4 linked regions of the Ovis aries genome follow. The protein of the gene in region 4 interacts with the protein of the main gene of each other region in a pairwise test. Links are inferred from orthologs where the notes say so. Each region holds a gene or a part of one and is shown on either strand. Other genes may lie near its edges.

The links. The genes of interacting proteins can lie anywhere in the genome.
Region 1: the proteins of SDCBP (region 4) and C21H11orf68 interact in binary tests that used the Homo sapiens proteins (3 or more experiments, as listed by UniProt). The two-hybrid records come from large-scale screens. The link is inferred for Ovis aries from reciprocal best matches to the Homo sapiens genes SDCBP and C11orf68.
Region 2: the proteins of SDCBP (region 4) and KCTD6 interact in binary tests that used the Homo sapiens proteins (3 or more experiments, as listed by UniProt). The two-hybrid records come from large-scale screens. The link is inferred for Ovis aries from reciprocal best matches to the Homo sapiens genes SDCBP and KCTD6.
Region 3: the proteins of SDCBP (region 4) and NECAB2 interact in binary tests that used the Homo sapiens proteins (3 or more experiments, as listed by UniProt). The two-hybrid records come from large-scale screens. The link is inferred for Ovis aries from reciprocal best matches to the Homo sapiens genes SDCBP and NECAB2.

Annotation. Positions count from the first base shown.
Region 1 is NC_056074.1:40,461,937-40,466,210, forward strand, and holds C21H11orf68 (UPF0696 protein C11orf68 homolog), read right to left. Parts: upstream 2,801-4,274; 5' UTR 2,779-2,800; coding exon 2,657-2,778; intron 2,174-2,656; exon of another isoform or gene 1,932-2,173; intron 1,685-1,931; coding exon 928-1,684; 3' UTR 293-927; downstream 1-292. Other genes in the region: DRAP1 (dr1-associated corepressor), read left to right, coding at 3,182-3,223, 3,467-3,539, 3,648-3,741, 4,014-4,133, 4,254-4,274.
Region 2 is NC_056072.1:42,983,686-42,987,974, forward strand, and holds the start of KCTD6 (BTB/POZ domain-containing protein KCTD6), read right to left. Parts: upstream 2,801-4,289; 5' UTR 2,616-2,800; exon of another isoform or gene 373-2,615; intron 1-372. UniProt on the Homo sapiens protein: Probable substrate-specific adapter of a BCR (BTB-CUL3-RBX1) E3 ubiquitin-protein ligase complex mediating the ubiquitination and subsequent proteasomal degradation of target proteins.
Region 3 is NC_056067.1:9,830,324-9,834,597, forward strand, and holds the start of NECAB2 (N-terminal EF-hand calcium-binding protein 2), read left to right. Parts: upstream 1-1,474; 5' UTR 1,475-2,419; coding exon 2,420-2,712; intron 2,713-2,792; exon of another isoform or gene 2,793-2,798; coding exon 2,799-2,910; exon of another isoform or gene 2,911-3,695; coding exon of another isoform or gene 3,696-3,769; intron 3,770-4,078; coding exon 4,079-4,103; intron 4,104-4,274. UniProt on the Homo sapiens protein: May act as a signaling scaffold protein that senses intracellular calcium.
Region 4 is NC_056062.1:37,743,215-37,746,714, forward strand, and holds part of SDCBP (syntenin-1), read left to right. Parts: intron 1-2,333; coding exon 2,334-2,495; intron 2,496-3,500. UniProt on the Homo sapiens protein: Multifunctional adapter protein involved in diverse array of functions including trafficking of transmembrane proteins, neuro and immunomodulation, exosome biogenesis, and tumorigenesis.

The sequences.
Region 1 (4,274 bases), on a different chromosome or scaffold from region 4:
AACCAAGGAGGTACCTTTCTCTTAACGGGCACGAACACACCCTGTGGGCTAGCAGCAGTCCCTCAGACTTTACTGGGCCAAGTCCTTGAATTTATGGGAAATCACTGAACAACTGATTGTGATTCCTGGGATGGAGGTGAGACAGGACTGACTTTGAAGAGGCTCTCAGAGACATTCCCAGCTTGGCGGTTGAAGGCAATCAGGACACAGGGGGCAGTCTCTCCTGGCCCTGCCTCTCTCCGCCAACCAATGCAGGTAACCACCAACACAGTATTGTAAAAAACACTCAAGACACAGACCCAGGCTGGGTTTATTGAAATGCCAGAAGTACGCGTGTGACAAGGGAGCCAAAGAAAGGAAGAAGGTGGTGTCGGCTGTGAGGTGGCAGGGACAGGCCCTGTGTCCTTGGCCCTGGCATCCCCCTTCTGTGCTGGGGGCAGAGTGGGAGCAATTACCCACTCTCCGCCAACAAAATGGCATGCTCAGGCCCGCAGGACCTCTGCCCCCTGCACTGTGAAGGCCCCGAGGAGAGGGATTGGAAGCACTAGTTTTCTCTCTTGTGAAAGAGGAAGAGAAAAGGAGGAAGCAGGAGGAGGGGGAGGTGCAGCCAGGGATGAGGGTGGCCAAGGAAGGTTCTCCTGCTGGCGTCTGCACCCCGCCTGTGGTTCTGGATGACCGAGGGGAGGCAGCAGCGAAGAGAGGCTGAGGGTCCAGCCCTCACGGAGCCATTGCCTCCAGCCAGCAGGGACTGGAGTCAGCCCAAACACAGGACAGAAGTTCAAAGGGATCGAAGATGCAGGCAGTTCCCGAGTGACCCAGTCCTCAGAGCTGGAGGGGCTCGACCTCCATGGGACAAGGAGAGGGAAGACAGGCGGAGGCTCCAGCCCCAGTAGTGGGGGCAATGGCCATCTCCCTCATTTGGCCCTATTAGGTCAGTTCCACATTGTTGGCACGGTCCAGCACACGGGAGCCACGGGCACTGCCCCCCAGCTGGAAACGGCTCTCATAGAGAGTGGGGCAGAGGTGCCAGCGGTTGGCCCGGTAGATGCCCAGGTAGGTGTAGACGTCAGGCTTGTAGGTAAGCAGACACTTCACGCCTGCCGCACGGATGGCTGCATCTGCCTCCAGAACACCCAAGCGGTCCGTGAAGTCGTCCGTATAAACGCAGATGACCTGCCGCCCCCCCTCCTTGGCCCGTGGGCTCACCTTGGCCACCTGCAGCCGGCCCTCAACCACAGCCCGAGCAATGCCAGCCCAGGCGTGGTCCAGCTTGAAGCCAGGTGCCAGGTGTATCAGCCATTTGCCAGAGAGCACTTGGTGGGTGATGGCCAGCTGGCGCAGGGTACCAGGCGTTATGGGCCGCCCGCTGGTCTGCAGAGCTTCCCAGGCGGCCTGTAGGCCCTGCACATCACCCGAGTTGGGGATGTAGCCCTGCCCATACACTGCAATCCAGCCCACGGGCTCAGAGTTGGGCGAGCCAGGGTCCCCATAGCGGGTAACTTGGGACGGCGGGTACTTGGCCAACCAGGCATCCAGCTCTGTGGCAGGTGTCATGCGGGCATCAAACACCAGCCAGGGGTCCATGTCGGCTGCCATGGCCTCTGCAGCCAGGTGCTCAGCAGTGAAGCCATCTTCACGACCACCTGGAGAGTCCTCTTCCTCCAGCTCCTCACCTGGTTCCATCCTGCGGGAGGGAACCGAATCAGGGCAGGGCCGGGACAGACTCAACTTGCTGAGTCCTAGGGGGTGCCAGGGAGAAGGCGATGGCACCCCACTCCAGTACTCTTGCCTGGAGAATCCCATGGATGGAGGAGCCTGGTAGGCTACAGTCCACGGGTCACTAAGAGTCGGACACGACTGAGCGACTTCACTTTCACTTTTCACTTTCATGCACTGGAGAAGGAAATGGCAACCCACTCCAGTGTTCTTGCCTGGAGAATCCCAGGGACGGGGGAGCCTGTTGGGCTGACGTCTATGGGGTCGCACAGAGTCGGACACGACTGGAGCGACTTAGCAGCAGCAGCAGCAGCAGCAGCAGCAGCAGCAGGGGGTGCCAGGCACTGAACTGAACGGTGTGGGCCTGGGCCTCGGCTGCCGCGTCTCCACAATGGATAACAACTTGTTACTGCCTCAAGCAGTTGTGCAGAATTAACCGCCTGAGGTGGAACAAAAGCTATATAAATGTAGTTAGTGTTATTACTGCTCTCCTTGACCTACAAACGAGGAAACCGAAGCTCAGAGAGAAGGGGCTCACTGCAGGTCACACCTTCAGTGAGTGATAGGGCCGAAACGGCAATTCAAATGCGGGAACCGCCGGCCCAGCTACGCCTCCTGGCCCTGCCAGAGCCTGGCCGCTCTCCCGGGCGCTGGGATTTAATGGAGGGAGGCAAAGCACACGTCCTCGCCGCACCGAGGCAGGGCCCATGGGGCCAGGCCTCCGGGCGAGCGTTATCCAACCTACTTAAAGACGAGGGCACTGAGGCGAGAAACGGGCAGTGTCCGATCCGAGACCAACGGGGCGGTGCCTGGACTCGAACCCCGGCTGGATAGAGGCTGCAGGAGAGCCTGCCTCCCGCCCCGCCGCGCCCGCCGCCATTAGTGCCCACGGCCCGAGCTGCGCCCCCGTCCTGCCCCCTCCCGCCAACCCCAGCGTCACCTCCGGCCTTCGCTGCGCTCGGCGCCGGGCCAGCCCCGGGCCCGGCTCCGTTCCTGCCGGGGATCTGCGCCGCTGCCACCGCCGCGCCCCGCCCCCGCCACGGCTGCCGCCGCCGCCGCCATCTTAGTACCCCGGCGCCTCAACAAGAACTTTATAGACAAACGCAGCACAGGGCGGGGCCGGGAAGGGGCGGGGCCATGGGGGCGGGGCCATCAGGGAAGGCGAGGAGGGGCGGGCCTTGGGGGGCGGAGCTAACGTTCGCTCTTCAGGTCTTGGGGGCGGGCGGGAGTGGCGGTTCCGCCCCGGACGGACGCGCAAAGCCCGGGAGGCTCTAAGGGGGAGGGCGCTCGGGCCCTGCCGGCGGCGTCCTGACCGGCGGCGCTAGGACCCTGTAGGAAGCGTTGGGGGCGGAGCCGGCGGCACCAGGACCCGGGGGAACCGCGGCGGACGGGCTAAGAGCAGGCCCGGGTGCCGGGAGGCTGCGGGCGGCGGCGCTGGGTCCGGCGCGGCGGGAGAGGCCCCGAGATGCCGAGCAAGAAGAAGAAGTACAACGCGCGGTTCCCGCCGGTGAGCACGTGAGCGGGCCCCAGAGGAACGGGCCGGGCTCTCGGGAAGCTCCGGCCCAGGCCGGACTAGGGAGGCGGGCGCATCGCCGTGTTCGGGGCCCCGTACGCCCCGCCCCCTTCCGTGCCCTTCCAGCGTGGGTGCCCCCCGCCCCCTTTCTCCCGGGATGCTCCCTCTCTCTGCCCGGCTTAAGCACCCTTTCTGGGACGGAGGCTACGGGGTCCGAGCTGTCTGCCCCCTCCCCAGGCACGAATCAAGAAGATCATGCAGACGGATGAAGAGATTGGGAAGGTGGCGGCGGCCGTGCCTGTCATCATCTGTATCCTGTCGGGAGCTGTCGGGATGGGGGAGTGGGGGAGCCCGGCAGCCCCGGGGTCGCTTTTTGTGGACTGGGCCACCACCCTGCGTTCTCCTTGACCCTCCTCAGCTCGGGCGCTCGAGCTTTTCTTGGAGTCTCTGTTGAAGAAAGCATGCCAAGTTACCCAGTCCCGAAACGCCAAGACCATGACTACATCCCACCTGTGAGTGGCTCCGATCCTAGAGGGCCCAGTTGGGGGTCTTCCTCCAGTTCACACGCCTGGGGGAGGCTGTGCCCTGATAAGGAATTGGTAGGCTGCTGTGAGATCTGTGGATTTGAGGAGGAGGATTAGGATGTTCTGGCCAAGGGGGAGGGTTGGGGTGGAAATTTTCCAGGTTCCATTCCCCTGACATCCACAGAGTCCGTACTGTCCCTTGTTGAGGGCCCAGATGTCTGGGCCTCATCCGAGTGCCAACCCCTTCCCACTTCTTCCAGGAAACAGTGCATTGAGCTGGAGCAGCAGTTTGACTTCTTGAAGGACCTGGTGGCATCTGTGCCTGACATGCAGGGGGATGGAGAAGACAACCACATGGATGGGGACAAGGGTCCCCGCAGGTAGGGTGCCAGGGACCAGTGTCCAGGTGGGGAAGGCCAAGGCCCCTGGACTTGGGGATGGCTGGGGAGTGGTGAAGGAGTGGGGAGACCTGTGGGCAGATGTACTGTACCTTCCCGAAGGGGCCGGAAGCCAGGCAGCAG
Region 2 (4,289 bases), on a different chromosome or scaffold from region 4:
GCAAATGTGAAAAACACACAATTCAATAAGTGAATGACTTAAAGAATAACGTAAGAACCCCTGAAACTCATTTTCCTCACCACAGCAGAACTCAATTACAGGCTTTGTGGTTATGATGAACTAATGAAACACACATATTCTGGGCTTATCATTTCTGCTACAGACTAAGAATTCTCTGGAATAAAACTCCTGCTCCTATCCTATATAATAACTTATACACTGCAATACACACCTCCAAACTTGAATAAATAATAAACACATAACTATTTCCTTCCCTAAGTTTCCAGGTAGCCCTTTTAAAACGCCTTTCTACTGAAATCTTTGTAGCTGGCATTCAGAAGAGACAACTCAACAAATTCCATCTATACATACCTTCAAAATCACCTTTGTGCTGAATTTCTCTGTTCTTGAAATGTGGGAGCTTTTCAAAGTGAAATACTTTTTATAGTAACTAGTTCATCAACTAAAGGAGTCTTTGGGGTTAACATTCACATACAGGCTGGTTTAAGTAGCCAGGCACAGAAGGAGAATGTGATTATGGTGTTAGGTTACGCTTGACCATAACCAATACACAAACAGACCGTTTCATCCAAAACCTAATCCTTTTTTCTCTCTGCCCTCTCCATGTGGTCTACAAAAAAGGCGCTCTAGGTTGAAAAGTGACTTTTCCTACTGAAGAGCTACCACAAATAGTCACAAAACCATACCATCCCTCTTACCTTAATTTCTGTAAGATAAAACAGAATAATACCACATTCCCAAAAGGAACAGTACCACTTAAGCACAACACAGAGGCAACACCTGGCCTACAGGGTGACAGATGGGGGCCTGGGGTTTGAGGTCATAGACAGGTCAGAGCAGGAGAGAGAAAAGGCCACAGGTGAGGATCCTTAAGCCAGCTTGGCTTCATGACTAATTATAAGACCCAGAGTAAATCACTCTGTATTGCCCACCTGCTTCTTGGAGAAAAAATAAGTGAGATCATGAATCGAAAATTTATGGGTAAACTGGCAAATGTGAAACACTACTGGCAGTAGCATCCTTACAATTTCTGTGGCGAACTGAGAAACCGGAGTGTGGACACAAGTAATTCAGAGCGTGGGCATGGAGACCGGGCAAGTATGGAAGAGGAGGGCACTTAATGTGCTTCCAGTCTCCCTCATCCCGTCCTCCTTTTCCTGGAGCCCCACAAGGGAGAACCACAGGTAAGGTGGAGCATCTGGCTTTCACAGAGACCACCAGACGTCTGACCTCTTCATCACAGAAGGAAGGAACTCTAAAGCATGACTCGGGATTATGTCCAAGGTAAAGCCAAATCCAAATGAGTATTTGGATTCCATTTTCAATAGACTCCAAATATCACAATCCAAGACACGTTCAGTGATTCACAGATTCACTCTAAAATTTCTTCATGTAGTAATGCTTTAAACTGTGACAAATTAAAATTTAAATGACATGAACCTTAGAAACAGCATCTATGGTGGTCCTCACCACTCAATTCTTAATATTTATGATGTTATGCAAAATGAAGTACTAGTATGGTCTGATCAAAGAGCAAGTTGTCTCAACCTACCAACCATGCAGGTTAAAAAAGAGATTTTCCTTTTCCTAGCTACACATCTGTTTGTTCGAAAACATCTCAGTCCTGGGCTCAGTCCTGTGCTAAACGCTGTCCCCTCGCTTCTTTCCTCTCTTGGAATCGTTCATATACTCAGGCGTTTGTGAGAGCAAAGAAAATGCACATACCAAGGGGAAACGGTAAGACACGCTTAGGCTACCCCAAACGCTCTTGGCCAAACCAAGTTACCTCAGGTCTCGGGGCACTCAAACCTCTTCTATCACAAAGCCCTAAAATTGGAAGTAGCCAACTTGTTCCAGAACTGGTATAGTTGCAGAAACATGATAACTTCAGCACAATATCCAAAAAGGATCTCTGCTTCGTTTCTGGAGTCCCACCCCTCAGACAGCCTCCACCACTGACAGCCCAGCCCGGCAGGTGCTTCAGGGGCTCCTCACCACCACGGCCATTTATCACCTCTGACGTCCAGCATTAAGAATGCCCTGGGCACACACAAATCTGGGCATTAAGAACTCAGCTGCGGTCAATCCCTCTTTGGGGCAGAAAAATCCCCTAAGGCAGGGTTCAGAAGTCCTGCCGGGGGCTTTAAAATAAGGAAAACTGTAGCCAATAAGCACCACCCACAATCAATCATCTTCCAGCAAACCTTGAGGTGCTCCCGTCCCGGCTTCACTGCTGCCCACGGGCAGAGTCCCCCACCCCGACCCGGGCCCCGGGCGTGGGACGGGAGACACTTGGGGCCCGGGCATGGGGCGCGCACCCGAGCCCTAAACCCGGGTCCGCCGAACCCGCAAGTCCCAGCGGGGCAGGCCCCGGATCCTCCGCCCAAGGCCGGCCTCTGGTCGCGGGCAGCCCGCGGCGGGTTCGTGCCAGCCCCGGAGCGCGCCGCCTGGACTCCCCGAGGTCCCCTGAGCGCGGCCCCGCCACCGCCCGGGTTCCCCTCAACCCCGCTGCCGGGCCGCTCCGCGCGGTCTTCTGCTAGAGCCCAGCCCTCCCGAGCCCCGGGCCTCCGCGTCGTGGGCCCGCCCCTACTCACTGCGCTGCGGCGGCGGTGGCTGCCGGGCCGGGAGACGCCGGCGGCCGGAGAGCGCGAGCGCGAGGACGAGCGAGCCCGCGCCCGGTGGCGGCGGCGGCGGCGGCGGCAGAAGGGACGACTGAGCCCGCGCCCGGAGTTGCGGCTCCTGCCGCCCGGAGCGGGCGGCGCCTTTCCAGCGGAGACACGGCGCCACAGGCGCGGGCGCCCCCTAACGGCGTCGCGGGCTAGTGACCGAAGGGCCGAGCGGCCGGAGAAACTCAAACCAGGCGTAGCCTGGGCGGCTCCTTCAGGCTGGCTCCGCGGCAGCCCTGAAGCCCCGCCCCGACGCCCGATCCCGCCCCCGAGGCTCGGGCCCCAGACCCACGCGCTCCGCCCAGAATTCGCCCGACATCCCGCCTCCGCCCGCACTGGGGGATCTGCCCAGCCCCCGGCACTTTTCGCTAGGGCTCAAACCTAGTTTCTCCGGTCATTTTACGAATACTTAAGGGATCCCAACCAAGTGCCAGGCCTGACGAGTAAAGCGGTCACCAAGAAGGAGGGGCTTCCTAATGAAAGGAGAAACATTAAAGACCCAAGTAAACAGCCGACAAAAAAATGACTACAAAAAAAAGTTATGATTATAAAATGTTGGGAGGTACATGAATTCGATGGAGAATAAGCGGAGGGGGCCTCTGCTGCAGATACGGTGACTATACAAGATCTGGACTCTGGAACTGTGGTCCCAGGACTCCTGGCCTTACCCTCTGTGGGATTGATACGGTCACCTCTCCAGTCTGTGGGCGGAGTAGGGAAAGACAGCCAGATGGAGAGAAGGGCAGCAGAGAAAACGACCAGTGCAAAGGCTCTGAGGACTGAAGGAGCCAGCCCTAGAGGAAGCTGGCACCAATACTGTCCTCATTTCACCACGAAGGAAGCCAAGGCTGCAAGAGTGGGAATTACCTAAAGTCTGAGCTAATTGGTTTCCAAACATAGATTCCTTCCAAACAGAACTCACTTCTGGCTAACCAAATCCCCATCCCTTTCCAGGTGGGATCAGGTACAGGGATTTTGCCATTTCTCCTTCACAATAAGCAAAAGAGTTCAGAGAAACGTCTATTTCTGCTTTATTGACTATGCCAAAGTCTTTGTTTGACTGTGTGGATCACAATAAACTGTGGAACATTCTGAAAGAGATGGGAATACCAGACCACCTGACCTGCCTCTTGAGAAATCTGTATGCAGGTCAGGAAGCAACAGTTAGAACTGGACATGGAACAAACTGGTTCCAAATAGGAAAAGGAGTACAGCAAGGCTGTATATTGTCAACCCTGCTTATTTAACTTATATGCAGAGTACATCATCCCAGAGAAGGAAATGACAACCCACTCCAGTATTCTTGCCTGGAGAATCCCAGGGACAGAAGAGCCTGGTGGGCTGCCATCTGTGGGGTCGCACAGAGTCGGACACAACTGGAGCGACCTAGCAGCAGCTCCAGAGTACATGAGAAATGCTGGGCTGGATGAAGCACAAGCTGGACTCAAGATTGCTGGGAGAAATATCAATAACCTCATATATGCAGATGACACCACCCTTTGGCAGAAAGTGAGGAACTAAAGAGCCTCTTGATGAAAGTGAAAGAGGGGAGTGAAAAAGTTGGCTTAAAGCTCAACATTCAGAAAACTAAGATCCTGGCAT
Region 3 (4,274 bases), on a different chromosome or scaffold from region 4:
GATCCCCACACTTGCACCTGCCACAGGGCCTTTGCACAGGCTAAGCTCTAGCCCAGGGAACTTCCCCATCCTCTCTGTAACTCCTCCTCCTCCTTACACTCTTGGAGCATAAGGACCATTTCCTCTAGGAAGCCTCTTCTGACATATGCCCCTCCGTGGCCCTCAGGTAGAACCCACTCTGGTGGGTCAGGGTGCCACCCTTCATTGCAGTTCAGTTCTCACTCTTCCTTACTTGTGGGATCATTCCAGTGTTTGGAGAAGGAAATGGCAACCCACTCCAGTATTCTTGCCTGGAGAATCCCATGAACGGAGGAGCTTGGTGGGCTACAGTCCACGGGTCGCAAAGAGTCGGACACGACTGAGAGACTTCACTTTCACTTTCACTTCCAGTATCTGGCTCCACCCACTTGGCTGTAAGCTCCAGGAGGCCAAGGCAAGCCCTCCTGTTTTCCCGATGTTCTTGGAACCCAGTGCGGCCACCAGGCCTAGCACCCAGCAGGGGCTCCTTTAATTCTCTGGTTCGGTGGGTGGGAGTCTGGAAGGATGGACGCAGGGAGTATAAGGGGAAGAGGGTGTTCCAGGGGTGGGGAACACTAGTTCTGGGCGTTGTTTAACTCGCGGGGGAGGTCTGAGGGGCGTGCACCCGGTGGAAGGGACGAGTGGGTACTTGCGGAGTGGAGAAGGCCCCAGTGCGTGGGCGCGCGTTCCTTGGGCTGCAGCCGGCAGAGGGCGCTACCGGCTCGCCGGACACAGCGCTCCGGCCCCGGCGGCGGCGCCACGGAGTGGAGGAGGGGGGATTCTTCTGGAGGGCGGGCAGGGGGAGACTTTCGGAATGGGGGCAGCCCCCAGGGATGCACCCCCGAAGCCAGACCCCCAAAACCCCGCGCCTGCCAGGCAGCCCCCTCCGTGGCCGGGCCGGGGTCTAGCTCCCCAGCCCCGCGGCCCACTGCCGGCAGCCCCCTGCCGCCGCGCCCGGCCGCCGGGGGCGGGGGCGGTGGCCCACGGGGCACGTGGCTCCGGGTCCGGGCGGGGCGGCGCCCACCCCCTCCCGTCCCCCAGCGCCGGCCCGTCCCCGCGTGGCCGCGGCCGCGGGGGCAGAGGGAGGGAGGGCGGGGCGCGGGCGGCGGCGGCGGGCGGCGCCGGGGAGGGGGTCGCGCGGGGGCGGGCCGCGGGCCGGGCGGGGGTCGGCGGGCTTCCGGGCGGCGGCGGCGGCGGGCGCGGCGCGATGTGCGAGCGGGCGGCGCGCCTGTGCAGGGCCGGCGCGCACAGGCTGCTCCGGGAGCCGCCGCCGCAGGGCCGGGCGCTGGGCGGGCTGCTGCGCTGGGTGGGCGCCAGGATGGGCGAGCCCCGGGCGCCGCTGGCCCCCGACGCCCCCAACACCCCCGTCGCGGACCCCGGCCCCTACCCGGGCCCCGCCTCGCCGCGCGGGGGCACCGCCGTCATCCTGGACGTGAGTACGCGCGGGCCGGGACCCGTTCTCCCCACCGGGCGACGCGGACGCCACGCTCCCGGGACCCCGCTGGGACCTGCAAGACCCCCTTCTGCTTGAGGGGCAGGGGTCCCCGGGCAGGGACGCTGGCCCGCACCCCGGGGGTCCAGAGCGGGATCCACCGGCTCCTCCTTGTGCAGAGCGCGGCCCCCAGCTCTTCGGCCCCCGGGCCGGTCTCCGTGCGGGTCCCGTCTCGTCCCCGGACCGGGACGACCCCTTTACCTCCCTCCCCTTCTCGGGATCTCCACATTCTCGGAGCCGGGACCCTGGAGCCCCTCGACCCGGCCACCGCCCCCTACTTCTGTCCTGGCCAAACCCTCATCTTTCTCCAGCCCGCGCTTCATCCTTCACCCAGCTCCTTCCCGGGACGCGAGTCCCAGACCGCCGTCGGCCCCTGCTCCTGCCCGCCCCACCGACCCCTGCCCCCCGTCCTTACTTTTCTAAGACTCTCCCCCCAACCCACCCCATCACACACACAATCCCTGGGTCCAGGGCCATTTTTCTTGTCCGAGCTTTGGACCTTAAGCCCTTGTATCCTCAACCCTTTTGCCTCAGGCACCACCTTTTTAAAAGCAAAGCCCCCTCCCCACCTGCCTTCCTCTCTCCTTTCAGTAGGACTGGAGCCATCCCCCATCCTCTCTGAGGACCACCACTCCATTCTGAGCCAGTCCTTGATCCCCTTCCCCCGCTCCCCCCTCCCTCTCCCTCTCCTCACCCCTCCCTCTCCCTTTCCTCACCCCTCCCCCTGCTCACCCCCTCCCCTTTTCACCCTCTCTCCTCCTCACCCCCACTCCGCACCCCTCCCCCACGTCCTCTGGAGCCCAAACCGCCCCACCTCACCCTCCCACCCACTCTCCTCTGTAGGAGGGAGCCTTCTGCAGGGTGGGGGGGCGTCCCCCGTGGGGTGCTCTGCCCACCCCAAGGGGCAGCATGGCAGTGGGGTGTGCCTGTCCTAGGGAGGGTCCTCCGAGGTGGGTGACACGGGGCTGGGGGTGCCATGTTTATGTATGGTGGGTGGGTTTCAGGGAGAGGTGTGTGTATCACATCCTGGTGAGAGGGGGACAGTGTGGGTTTCCTCTCGCCCCTCCACCCCCACCACGTTCCTGTTGGAGCCTCCATCGCTGGCTCTCAGCCGACAGGGCAGGGGGTGATCTGCCGCACGTGGCCATGGCTCCCAGGCTTCCCAGAACGTGCTCACACACAGCCCACTCGCACCTGCACAGGTGAGCCCTCTCAAAGCCCCAGTGAGTTCGCAGCTGAAAGCCCTTGCAGCGGACAGCTCTGTCCAGGCCCCCCCCCTTTTGCACAGGACAGGACGTGGACTCTGGAGTCCTCACGCCACGCTGCTGGCTCTGAGCCCCAGTCTCCTCATCTGTGAAATGGGGGTGATGAGCGAGTGCCAGGGCCACATCTCCTGTCAGGTCAGTCACTTTAACGCTCACCCCCGGCCCCGGCACCTGAAGGTGGGACTCCAGCCTCCTCGGGAACCTTGCAGTCAGGAGCAGGCAGTGTGCGGTGCACAAGCTGGGGTGCTGGCAGCTGCCCCCTTTTCTGCCCCAGCTGCTCCAGACCTGTGTCCCCTGCCCCAACTTGGGGTTCAGCTCAAGAAAGGGGGAATGTTTGAGAATATCTTTCCTGAGCTGCTGCTTCAGTTTGTCACAGCCCGGGTGCCTGACAATGGATGCCTGCCCTACTGCTTGGAGGGAGGGGCCCAGCTCCCGCTCTCCAAGGTGTGAGGGTCACACGCTGGGGGCGGCGTCTCCCCCTCTTCCTACCTTCAGCAAGGCTTGCGTGCACGCGTGCTAAGTCACTCAGAAGGGTCCGACTCTGCGACCCCATGGACTGTAGCCTGCCAGACTCCTTTGTCCATGGAATTCTCCAGGCCAGATACTGGAGTGGGTAGCCTTTCCCTTCTCCAGGGGATCTTCCTGACCCAAGGATCGAACCCAGGTCTCGCACATTGCAGGTGGATTCTTTACCATCTGAGCCACCAGGGCAGCCCCCAGCAAGGCTTACTAGGACTAAAAACACCAGGAGGAGCTATCTGGTTTCAGCTGCAGCTGGAGGGGACCAGGCTGCCCCTTCCCTCCCCGCCTCTCTTTCTGAGCTGCTTGCGGGCTGCTCCTACCCACTGACCACCCCCAAAAAACTAATCCCGCCGTGCACTGGCTGATCCTGTCGTCAGGCCTCGAGGTTTGCTTGGCAGATGCCTCTGTTCAGATTTAACCCACCCTCCCTGGAGAACACCAGGCCCTCGAGAGGTCCTAGTGGGGGTGTAAGGTGAGTGGCTGCCTCCCACGGACGGGAGTGGGGAGCACGCAGCCGCCTGTGGGTGCTGCACGTGGGCCAAAGGTTCTGGACACACACCCGTGCGGCGTGCTCTCGACCGCATGGCCAGCAGCGCCTGAGGAAGAGGGGAGGCTGTCTCCTCGAGGGGAGCTGGAGGGCCACTGCCTGAAACACCCTTCCACCCCCGGGTCTCCTCCCTCAGGAGGGAAAAGGGGCCCGGCTTCCGCAGGTCCACTGGGCTGGGGGTGTTGGAAGCCTGCCCCTCCCAGCCGACACTGACTCGACCTCTCTTCTCTGCAGATTTTCCGCCGTGCGGACAAAAACGGTGAGTCTTCCCACACCCCGCGAGGCTGTCCCCGTGTGAGGACCTGGCTCTTTCTGGTTGGGGGTGCAGGACGCTGCCCTGCGCCTGTTTCTCCATCCTACGAGGGACCCCTGTGGTTCCTACTGAGCAGGGGAGCCATGCGGCTTCAGCGGGCAGGTGTGGGCAGTGCGG
Region 4 (3,500 bases):
CACCTAGATGTTACACTTGGCTCTTCTTCCAGTAACTCCTCTAGTAACTTGTTATATCAATGAATGCTGAGCTACTGCTAACTTTATCATTCTGAAATTCAGGTCTGTTACCTTTTTTTTGCTCATAATCTTTTTAAGTTTAAAGCTTCTTACAGTTTGACCCCAAATTCTTGGCTTAAATATAGTGTGTCTCAGTCTTTTGTTAAGATTGTTGCTATAAGACTGTAATACCTTACAGTACTTGTCATAGGTAAATGCATAACTTCATGAAGACAGCCTTTATGTCTCTGTTGCTGCCATAACTCCCATGCTTAGTACAGTACCTGGCTTTCAATTTATTCACCAAATATTTATTGAAAACTTGCTTACATCAGTCAGGGTCCAGGTGGAACAACAGAAATCACACAAGAATTTTAACAGAGATAACAAGAAATCAGAGAGGTTGAAGAATTGAAAAAAGCAAAAGCGGAACCCAGAAAGCTGCTTCTCCTAGAACTGGGGCATACGGGATGGGGGTTACAGTTCGCAGAGCCAACAGTGTTGGTGGAGGAGCCCCGTGAGCTGGGCCTCAGGGGAGGGCCCCCTGTGATGGATGCTGGTACCTCTGGGGGCTGCAGGGAGGCTGTGCTGCCAGTGTCTGGAATCTGGAGACTGGAGTCACCTGCTGCCAGCAGCATGAAGGGCTGGCCCCAGGCAGTACTGGCAGGAGCAGGAAGCAGACAGGAAGGGGCAGGCCCTGGCACGTCCTCCTCGCGAGGGGTCCTGACCAGAAAGCCATGGCAGAAGAGGGCTCACCACAGAGGGTGGGCTTGGAAGGCACGGACAGTCTGTGACGCTTGCTGGCCTCTCTTCTCTTCAGTGTGCCCACAGGCTTCTTTCTTCATATTTCTTCACATTTGTTGACGCGCAACAAATATTTTCTGGTAAGGGAACCATAGTAAGTACGTTCAGCTTTACTAGCCAGTATATACAGAGACCTTGAGAGGCTTCCGGGCAGAAATGAGCTTGAGAGGCCTGAGAGACAGGACCTCGGTGAGGGCAGATGAGACAGAATGTGGCTGCAGATGCACTGGGGGGTGACATTGGAAGGGCTGTCAGGCCAGGTAGTCTGTGGCCTTGTGGACAGGGTAAGGGGTTGGGGGTCTGAGTTGTGGGATTAACAAAAGGGTTTCAGTGCTTGCTGTGTGGAGGGCAAATAGAAGGGCAAGAGTAGATGGTGGTCATAGTAGCCTTAGCAGGAGGGAGCAGTGGTCATGTGTTGGTCATATGGATCATGGTAAGAACACCGAGTAAGCACTTAACTGTACTTGCTGGAAAGAAATTCTTTTCCAAAAGTTATACTCCAAAGCTCCTCCCTTTTGTCCTATGTTTCAGCTAAACTAAATTCATTTGCTTAATTTTTTCTATCCCATTGCCTGATTTTTATGCTTTTATAGCTGTAATCATTGAATTTTTGTAATTCTTCAAAAGTTGTATTTTCTGGTATTGTGCTTGATTAGTGGTATGGCTCTTTGTGTGTGTGTGATGTCCTGGTGACTGTGATTCTGAACGGAGACATTGGCAGCCTGTGTGTGTGCGGCTGAGGTTTCTCTCCCCCATCATGGCTGTTCTGAGCATCACGGTGTCAGACCAGAGCTTTTCATGACAGGTTCCGGTTAAGACGCTTTGGTAACAAATATGCTCTTCCCTCATTTTCTTTGGTAGAGGAAAGGGTCCACTTAAAACACTAAACTCATTTTGGTCAAGAAAAAAAAATTAGGAATGTGAGGCCTGGTACCTAACGGAGTCCCTAGTACAGCTATTCTCCATACAGTTGGTTAATCCACAGATGTTTACCAAAGGGATGAAAAATAACATTTGTCTTGTGTGTGTCAGCACTTGACTAGTAGGTGCTTTTAGTCCTTGTAGTGGAGCTGTGAGGTAAGAAGTTTGCCTCTGTAATAAAAACTCTGAAAGGGTAAGTACATTGTTGAAGGCCATATAAAAGAACCCTCAGGAAGATGCTGTGTGAGTTTAAAAGTAAAGTACAGCCTTTATAAAGTTCAAGGATAATATATTTGAGTTGAAAACAAGCCAGGGTACACATAAAACAAATGCCAGTGAATTCATCGGGCAACAGAGTCATTGAGTCTGCTGGAGATGGTGTCTGGGGGGGTAAATTACCTGCAGAATTAGTTTTAAAAAACAAAATAGGGTCATTTTTGCAAAACTCATATCTGAAGGAAATAATCGGCAGATTACATTTTAGGAAACCACAACAGAATATGTTCAATTTTGGATTTTCTCAGGGCGCGTGTTTGCGAATACTGACGTGTTGCATGTGTCTTTGGCAGCAGTTGGTGGCACGGCCTTCCAGCATGGACCACATGGTGGCCCCTGTCACTGGTGGCGACACTGGGATCCGCAGAGCAGAGATCAAGCAAGGGATCCGAGAAGTCATCTTGTGTAAGGATCAAGACGGGAAGATTGGGCTCCGGCTGAAATCCATAGACAATGTAAGTGCTTTCAGTACACTTGTCTGATTAGCTGTTATGTGACCCAGTTACAATTTAAAATGTAAATGCTTTAATGAAGTGTAATGGTGCTCTCTGATCAAGACTACTTTTAATCTGCTTTTCCACGTGAGATGCTACCCTGTTCTGAAGAGGCAGAGCTGGGACTTGAGCATTACCATGGATGAATTTTTTCTGAGTCCTTTTTCTGGAATAAAGTTCACTAGTCTGCGTGTATTATAACATAGTTCATACAAGGAGAATGCTGGCATTGAAATAGGGTAACGTGTGGAAGTTAAGACTGATAGGTGAGGGTCAGTGGTCTTGTGTATTTTTAAACTTAAAGACGATCATGTGACTTGTAATGTGGTTTGGGGTTTGTTATTTCCATCCTTGAATTTGACTTTCATGGGGCATTTTCCAGGCAACAGTGACTTTCTAAAGTACATTACTTCACCTCTCACCTTACCAGATGGAAGAAATGAAACCTGGTTACTCTGTGGGGAAGCACTTAGGATCACTAAGGAGGTGCTGAGTCTTTACCCTGATTTGTGGGTTTCCAGGTTATTTATTGGGCTTCTTTTCAGTCTTCGGTCTCATAGCTCAGCGCATCCAGCCTTTGCATGTAGAAGATGTGGCGCCTGGCGGAAGATGTTTGAGGCCAGTCCGGGCCCTACCTGCCTCCCCAGAGGCTGAGGGCATTGTGTCTTTGCACACTTGTGGCTTGTGTGAGACCCTCATTGAGTGTGCTGCTCTGGGAAGCTCGCACTTCCCTGCCCTCTCTACATCCTAGAGAGAGACCACACTCTCCGCAGCTCCACCCCTGCAGCAGTTATCCTTGCAGTGGTTTGTCCAGTGGCCGAAGCTTGTAGGTGTAGCCACTCTGCTGGGTGCCGTCCTCAAGTACAGGATACGCAGCACCAAATCTGAGTACAGGCTACGCAGCACCAAATCTGGGGCAGCTCAGGACGGAGAAGGGGTGCGACCTGTGGTTGCTTTCATCTCTTA